2 linked regions of the Danio rerio genome follow. The protein of the gene in region 2 interacts with the protein of the main gene of each other region in a pairwise test. Links are inferred from orthologs where the notes say so. Each region holds a gene or a part of one and is shown on either strand. Other genes may lie near its edges. The genes, in order: aggf1 and mab21l3.

Region 1 (4,578 bases), on a different chromosome or scaffold from region 2:
AAGTATAAATGTTTTATCAGGCATGTATGTGAGGCTTGCCTAGTAACCAACCAGGGTACCCTAGCAACTGCCTAGCAACCATCCAAATTACCCTAGCAATCGCCTAGCAACCACCTAGCAACGGCCTAGTAATGCCTTAATAAGGGCCTAGTGACCACTCAGGACACCCTAGCAACCGCCTAGCAACGCCTTAGCAACCACTCAGAATACCTTAGCAACCACCTAGCAACACCTTAGCAACCACCAAGCAACCACTTGGGACACCTTAGCAACCGCCTAGCAACACCTTAGCAACCACCTAGCAACCAGTCAGAACACCCTAGCAACCGCCTAGCAACGCCTTAGCAACCACCAAGCAACCACTCAGGACACCCTAGCAACCACCTAGCAACACCTTAGCAACCACCTAGCAACCACTCAGGACACCATAGCAACCGCCTAGCAACGCCTTAGCAACCACTCAGAATACCCTAGCAACCACCTAGCAACACCTTAGCAACCGCTTAGCAACCACTTAGGACTCCTTAGCAACCACCTAGCAACACCTTAGCAACCACCTAGCAACCACTCAGAACACCCTAGCAACCACCAAGCAACACCTTAGCAACAACCTAGCAACCACTTAGAACACCCTAGCAACCGCCTAGCAACACCTTAGCAACCACTCAGAACACCCTAGCAACCACCTAGCAACATCTTATCAACCACTCAGAACACCCTATTAACCGCCTAGCAATGCCTTAGCAACCACCTAGCAACCACTCAGAACACCATAGCAACCACCTAGCAACAGCCTAGCAACCGCCTAGCAACATCTTAGCAACCACCTAGCAACCACTCAGGACACCCTAGCAACTGCCTAGCAACGACTTAGCAACCACTCAGAATACCCTAGCAACCACCTAAGCATGCTATGTGACATGCTAATTCATACTAGAATCATGCTAGTAACATGCTAATTCATACTAGAATCATGCTAATAACATGCTAATTCATACTAGAATCATGCTAGTAACATGCTAATGAATGTCAGAATCATGCTAATAACATGCTAATTCACGCTAGAATCATGCTAGTAACATGCTAATTCATACTATAATCATGCTAATAACATGCTAATTCATGCTAGAATCATGCGAGTAACATGCTAATTCATGCTAGAATCATTCTAGTAACATGCTAATTCATACTAGAATCATGCTAATTCATGCTAAAATCATGCTAATAACCTGCTAATTCATACTAGAATCATGCTAGCAGTATGCTAATTCATACTAGAATCATGCTAGTGACATGCTAATTTATTCTAGAATCATGCTAGTAACATGCTAATTCATGCTAGAAGCATGCTAATAACATGCTAATTTATACTAGAATCATGCTAATAAAATGCTAATTTATACTACACTCATGCTAAAAACATAATAATCCATGCTAGAATCATGCTAATGCATGCTAGAATCATGCTAATAACATGCTACTTATACTTTTTCAAACTTTGAAAAAACTTTTTCAAACATGCTAATTTATACTAGAATCATGCTAATAAAATGCTAATTTGTACTACACTCATGCTAATAACATGCTAATCCATGCTAATCCATGCTAGAAACATGCTAATGCATGCTAGAATCATGCTAATAACATGCTACTTATACTTTTTCAAACTGTTTTTAAACTAAACAAACTATTACCAACAGGCTTTGTCAAGCCAGCCTCAAAGTTTGTCTCGACGAACTTTACTGTCTAGTTATATTATATAGTCTAAATTTACATTTAGGTTTATATACGATGTTTTACGCATTTCAAAATTGCAATTATATTTTTTCAGTTATATATATATATATATATATATATATATATATAATTGTATATAATATCAGTTAAATATAATGCATTTCTTTACTTTTTTATATAATATAGGAATAAATAATAATTATATACAAAATATAATACAATTAATATGTATTATAATATATATTAATTATTATCCAGTCAATTACAATTACATTTTGGGGCCTTAAAAACTATTGTGGACGTTTGGGGACCTTGAAGTACGGCATAAACATAACTTATTTATTAAACTATTTGTATGTTTGTAGAGAATCAGCAATGTGCAAACAACATTTAGATAGCTTTTATTGTTTTATGTCTCAATAATAACAGGTCAGAATAAGTGTGTTTTTTTCATTTTAAGCTACGGTTAAGCTGAATGATGATTATAATTCTCCCTAAAATCTGTAGAAATATTAAATTCTATGAATAATTCTTGTATTTTATATTAAATGTCATGCAGCCATAAAAAACAGGATGTCTTATATCAATATGAGACATACAGTTGTGCTTACATTTTAGAAAATGAGTTTAACAGGTCAGAATAAGTGTGTTAACACTTGTATTTAATGTGCTCTCTATGTAATTTATTAATTCTTGTAATTTAAATTTAATTTCATGCAGACATCAAAACATATTAATTTCACACTTACGGCAGAACTTATATTTTATAAAATGGTTTTCTAGCAATCACATAACAAAATTTAAGCACCAAAAACCTAAAAATGAATTAGCTCAACCAATGTTTGACGTTTACCTTAAATATGCATATATGCAAATAATCCACCAGAACCAAACAAAAACAAAGCACACCCCTCTAAACAACAGCTATAACGAACTAAACAACACATCTAAACATAATATACAATAGGAATAGTTTAATAAATAGTTATATTATGCTATGTATTAGCAAACCTTTGAGTTTTAAAGCACACTATCCTCACCGGTTTAAACCACCCGTTTTCCGTGCGCGTTCCCGGCTTCCCTGCGCGCGCATCAATCTGCAAATCAAAGATAAACAGCAAATGACCAGCGGGAATTCGACACATATTCGTGTAGAAGTTTGTGTGACCGTAAAGTGCGTTACAGGGAGCAACCGCGATGAACTTTAGTCCAGCTTCAATGGATGCCGCCATACTTTCACTTTGTAGCGTCACATCTCGCTTAAGCTGCGTCACTTCCGCTTTTTACCACAGAGGAGACAGCGCCTCTCGCGTAGAACACAGTCAAATACACTGTTGTTAAATTTCTGCATGCCTGTCATCTATCTATCTATCTATCTATCTATCTATCTATCTATCTATCTATCTATCTATCTATCTATCTATCTATCTATCTATCTATCTATCTATCTATCTATCTATCTATCTATCTATCTATCTATCTATCTATCTATCTATCTATCCGTCCGTCCGTCCGTCCGTCCATCCATCCATCCATCCATCCATCTATGTAATATTTGATAACGTCTATAATGTAATAATGTTTTATAATGTAATAACGTTTTAGAGTGTAGATTTTTGCCAATAATTAAATAAATAAAATAACAAAAAATCTGACAAAATAATTATTGCATAATAATTAAATACAATACACATAATACATTATATAACATTATATCATTTGCAGGATTATAGTCTGTTATATATATATATATATATATATATATATATATATATATATATATACATATATATATACATATATATATATATATATATATATATATATATATATATATATATATATATATATATATATATATATATATATATATATATATATAATACTAATACAATAAGGAATAAATAGTTTTTATCTAATTTTCTCATTTTGATGGTTATTTTGTCTTATATTAAATCCTTTAACATCATCTGAAAAGCCAGAGTCCACCTGTTTTTACAACATTCTGCAATATTTAAGGTTAATTTGACCATTATTTTCAATGGGATTGCACTTTGCTGAATTATACTGTTTACATTTTATTCAGTTTTGCCTAACAGTTTCATTTTTAGGTCATGCTTTTATTGCCAAATTCTATTTGAATAATGCTGTAATATTATGGCTAATATATGTTACCCATAATTTAGACCTTTAAAAAAAAAAATGTTTTAATATTATTTTCAGCTGTCAGGAAGCTGAACTCTCTCCCTCCCAATGCACCTTTGGACTGTGACACACACACACACACACACACACACACACACACACACACACACACACACACACAAACTCATACATCTGCATCGTGTCTCAGCATCTAAATATTGTTGCTTTTCTGTTGATGTGACTCCACCAATTGGAAGTCACTTTGGAGAACAGCATCTAAATAAATTCACATGTAATGGCATCAAACAAGTTGTGCATTGCAAATTTAGATTATAATTTTAAAATAATTTTAAATAATAATAATAATAATAATAATAATAATAATAATAATAACAATGTTCACCATCTGTTAAAAAACTTACAGGCCACTTTCCAATTGTCCTTCTTTTACATCCCAAGATGCCTTTATTCAAAGTTATTTTCATTAACTTAATAAAACATAAAAAGTTTTCAAAAAAGAAAGAAAGAATAAAAAGCGTGCTGGGTGGAAAAATGTCAATACATTTAAGTTGATAAACTAATTTCTCTTGATATGGATTCATCTAACGATGCACAAATTATTATGCCAATAAATGATTTGCTGCATCAGGCATTTAAAAGCAAGAAACAGCAAGTTCCTGAAGGTGTTTTCTTAAT
Region 2 (4,463 bases):
CTTTTTTAAATATTGCCCAAATTATGTCAAAGAGAGCAAGGAAATTTTTACAGCATGTCTGATAATATTTTTTCTTCTGGAGAAAGTCTTATTTGTTTTATTTCGGCTAGAATAAAAGCAGTTATTAATTTTTTTAACACAATTTATGAGACAAGATTATTAGCCCCTTTAAGCAATTTTTTTTTCTCGATAATCTACAGAACAAACCACCGTTATACAATAACTTGCCTAATTCCCCTAACCTGCCTAGTTCACCTTATTACCCTAGTTAAGCCTTTAAATGTCACTTTAAGCTGTATAGAAGGGTCTTAAAAAATATCTAGTAAAATATTATTTACTGTCATCATGGCAAAGATAAAATAAATCAGTTATTAGAAATAAGTTTTTAAAACTATTATGCTTAGAAATGTGCTGAAACAATCTTCTCTCCATTAAACAGAAATTGGGGAAAAAAATAAACAGGGGCGCTAATAATTCAGGGGGGCTAATAATTCTGACTTCAACTGTATATGGTGTATATGGTGTATAAAACAAACAGAAGATTAAATGTTGTGCTACTTATGGAATCTATAATATGAAAAGATATTATAAGAGGATAACAAAACAAAAATAAAAGGTTAATAAATAAATAAATCTGTTATCCAGTTATCAACAGAACATATATCGAGACATCAAATTAAATCAAGCATATTAATATTCTGTTTGTGACTAGAATATCATTAGTGTATAGAGATTTTTCATTATTCACCAGCATTTACACACAGATTAAACAAATATTAAAACTCTAACTTGTCAGTCCGCGGGTCTTTATAGACGTCTCCAGAAGATCTTTGAAGACGTTCACCACCTTGGCTGGCACAATGTCACCTTCGATGGTCATGCGGGCATCGTGCCACTCCTGACTCGGGTTGACAAAACTCTCCAGCTCAAGCCATTGGTGGAGCTTCTCCGGCTCACGAACAGGTGAGAGGAGACGAGAGCCAGTCAGTGTATAATAACGCCACTGACGTGTCCGTCTCTCTTTATAGCCCATCAGGCCCTGCAGAGGCACTGAGATCAGGTACAGGGTTGGAGAGAGGACCTGCACAAGTCACCCAAAAAAAACATCAAACTAATCAGTACATCTATTCTGTTTATCTACTGTATAATATAAGCTTTTCTTACTCTGACTTTTTGTCTTTTGTCTAGTCCAAAAATATTAAAATATAATTTTCTAGACCTGGGGTGCCACTGTAAAAACCTTTAGAATATAGATCTGAATCAAACAGTGCACTCTGGCCTATGTAAATGCTGCAAAAGTACCGCAGCAAAAGTATTTGTAGCTGCATGCATGTTACATAATAACACCAGTTAAAGTTTACAACAGTAAATAGGAAAAGTACAATTTTGACACCATTTACTTGTTTCAAACCTGTATGTCCTTCATTCTTCTGCGGTACATTAAAGAAGATATTTTAAAGAATGTCCAATGATAATGGTGCCAAAATTGGTTCAGCTCCCCATTGACTTACCTAGTAATTTTAATTATAGAATTTAAATGTTGGGGTTGATCTATACCTTTTTAATAAATACTACTGCTTACTTGTATGGCAGGGTTGTATGCACATCTCCCTCTGAGTAATGCAGACCATTTTGACATTAAAGCAGGCTGGTCCTGAATTAGATTGTGGACACAAGAAAAAACATGATGTTATAAATCCAGCATTATAATGCAGTTAGTATTTTTTATATAGATGAGGCCTATGTGAAGCATTACTTTGAGGCTGGCGTTATGAACTCCAGCATTTGCGATGGACTGGAAGCGAGCGTCTTTTGAGCTGACCTCCGTAGTAAGATCTTTGATGATTTTCTGCACATCTTCGACACACTTTGAAACCTGCCGATGTCTGAGATCCACCTGACGATACATTTAACATCAGAAACAGCAGAATAAACCAAAAAAGGAATGTTTTTTTTATTTTTATTGAATCTATCTGAAATACTACACTAAACTCAAATAAAATGAAACTAAATAAAAAGAAATCCTCTAGCTATTTGTTTATTATTTTTATTTTATTAACACAAATTTTAAATAAAAAATAAAGAAAATAAACAAGAAATAAAAACATTACACCACTAAGACAGCATAATAAACAAAATAAAATAAAATAAAACAAGTTATGCAACTACAAATAAAATAAAATAAAAATATTTTATTACCATACAAAAATAAAATAAAACAAGAAATGAGGAATAAAAAGAATAAAGAATTAAACATATTTTCATCTGACTACAAATAAATAATTGAATAAATAAATAAAATAAATTAATTAAATTAATAAATAATAAATAAAAAATAAACAAATAAATAAATGCTATGCAGCCTGTGTTAAGAAAAACTGGATAGTCTAACAACAAATAGATATTTAAGTAAATAACAACAACAAAAAAAACTAACAAACATGTCAATTATGAAGACTATGGTAAGATGTAAAGATTGTGAGTAGTACAGCATATTCGCATATAAAACATTTAAGCTAAAAACAAGACAATAACACATTCGATTAGAGCAGAACAAACACTGAATAAAATAATTTTTAAAAACTCTAAAAATAAGCCATCTAAAATTATTATTGTTTAATTAAAACACCAAATGAAATGGTTATAATAAAAACTAATAACACATTAACAGTTTAGTTTAGATCTCGGTGCTCAATAAAACCAATGACAGCATAAGTAGGTCACCTGATTTAGCAAATAGTTATCCAGATCTTCATCTGTGCAGTTGGTCATGTTGTAGTCTACGCTTACAATAAGCTCTTTTCAGATGCTATTTTAAGTCTTCTTTTCAGCAGCAGAGCTTAATGTTGTGTCTTTGTGGCCTTTTTTGCAATTCTTTTGTGTCCCTGTGTACGTGCAACACAAATCGCACAAGGGAAAAGCACTTCAGCAGAGCCATTGATTTCACAATATTGATTCCCGAGATGCTAAAAAGCTTGTATGTTCCTCTGGGCAAATTAGTTCACCAATTGCTTACTCACATGACCGATCACACTCATTTGAATATAAACATTTGGTTTTAATCCAGCAGACTGCGCCATATGCTGATTATAAACACGCAACTGGATCACAATTGTTGTTGTTAATGTTGTTTATCAACTTACGTGAGTTGGAATTTATTGAATTAAAGTATGCTAAATTTAACAAAAAAAAAAAAGCATTAAAAAGAGGCCATTATAAAGGCTATATAATGTAAAACTACACCAAGCCTCTGGATTCTCATACTTCACATACTAAAATAACATGAACAAAAATATGCATGTATTGTAAACAATATATATCAACAATGAGAGCAACTGTGGGACAAATCAAATATTAAGAAATAATCAAATGCTTAAAAATAATATACAATAACTTGCCGGCTTAATTTTTCAGTTTGGAGCCCTCTGTAGCCTAAGTCAAAAACTCATTGACCACTATACCAATTGTGGATGAATTGGATGACCTTACATGGTTCAATTCAGTACAGATCAGGTGATGATGATATGAAAAAAACCCTGTCACAATCACTTGCACTACAGCCTTTAACATACATTGACTGTCTGTGGTGAAGATAAAGTGAACAAATGTCTAAATAAATAAACAAACTAAATGTTATATAGGTATTGGAAGTGGAACTTACAGCACAGTATAGTCATAATCAATAAAGAAATGTCTGATTGAATGAATGAACTAATTATTAAATAAAGGAAATGTTTTGTCAATAATGGAAAATACGGTAATGTTTTATTGTAGGCAGAGAATTATAAACACTTAATAGAGTTTGAAGGTTGTATAACAAAATAATAAAAAATATATTATTATGGAATTTACTGTGAGACATTAAAGGGGTAGTTCACCCAAAAATGAAAATTACCTCACCCTTTACTCTCCCTCCCCTGTGGTTTTATGAGATTATTTTCTGTTGACCAAGAAGATATTTTGAAGAATGTTGGTTGCTGGCACACGTTGACTCCTATAGTAGGAAAACAAAAATAACTAATGAAGTAACAGAATATCTTATTTTGTGTTTAACAGAAGAAAGAAACCTTTGGTTTGGAACTAGTAAATATGAGTAAATGATGACAAAATTGTAACTTTTGGCTGAGCTATTCCTTAAAGATTGCAGCGTGTGTAACAAGATCAGGCAACAAGGCAACAAAACACACAGTCATTTAACAAACCAATCAATACATATTTTATATGAAATCTAGCCTAGTCAAAATTACGGCTGTTCAGACAGACAGACAGACAGACAGACAGACAGACAGACAGACAGACAGACAGACAGACAGACAGACAGACAGACAGACAGACAGACAGACAGACAGACAGACAGATAGATAGATAGATAGATAGATAGATAGATAGATAGATAGATAGATAGATAGATAGATAGATCTAACCTATAGATGTTATAGCAAGATATTGATAATCATCTGATT

The links.
Region 1: the proteins of mab21l3 (region 2) and aggf1 interact in binary tests that used the Homo sapiens proteins (3 or more experiments, as listed by UniProt). The two-hybrid records come from large-scale screens. The link is inferred for Danio rerio from reciprocal best matches to the Homo sapiens genes MAB21L3 and AGGF1.

The regions. Positions count from the first base shown.
Region 1 is NC_133196.1:9,136,758-9,141,335, forward strand, and holds the start of aggf1 (angiogenic factor with G patch and FHA domains 1), read right to left. Parts: upstream 2,996-4,578; 5' UTR 2,921-2,995; intron 2,835-2,920; 5' UTR 2,831-2,834; coding exon 2,778-2,830; intron 1-2,777. UniProt on the Homo sapiens protein: Promotes angiogenesis and the proliferation of endothelial cells. Able to bind to endothelial cells and promote cell proliferation, suggesting that it may act in an autocrine fashion.
Region 2 is NC_133184.1:37,578,014-37,582,476, reverse strand, and holds the start of mab21l3 (protein mab-21-like 3), read right to left. Parts: upstream 2,910-4,463; 5' UTR 2,773-2,909; coding exon 2,725-2,772; intron 1,898-2,724; coding exon 1,757-1,897; intron 1,655-1,756; coding exon 1,583-1,654; intron 1,082-1,582; coding exon 790-1,081; intron 1-789.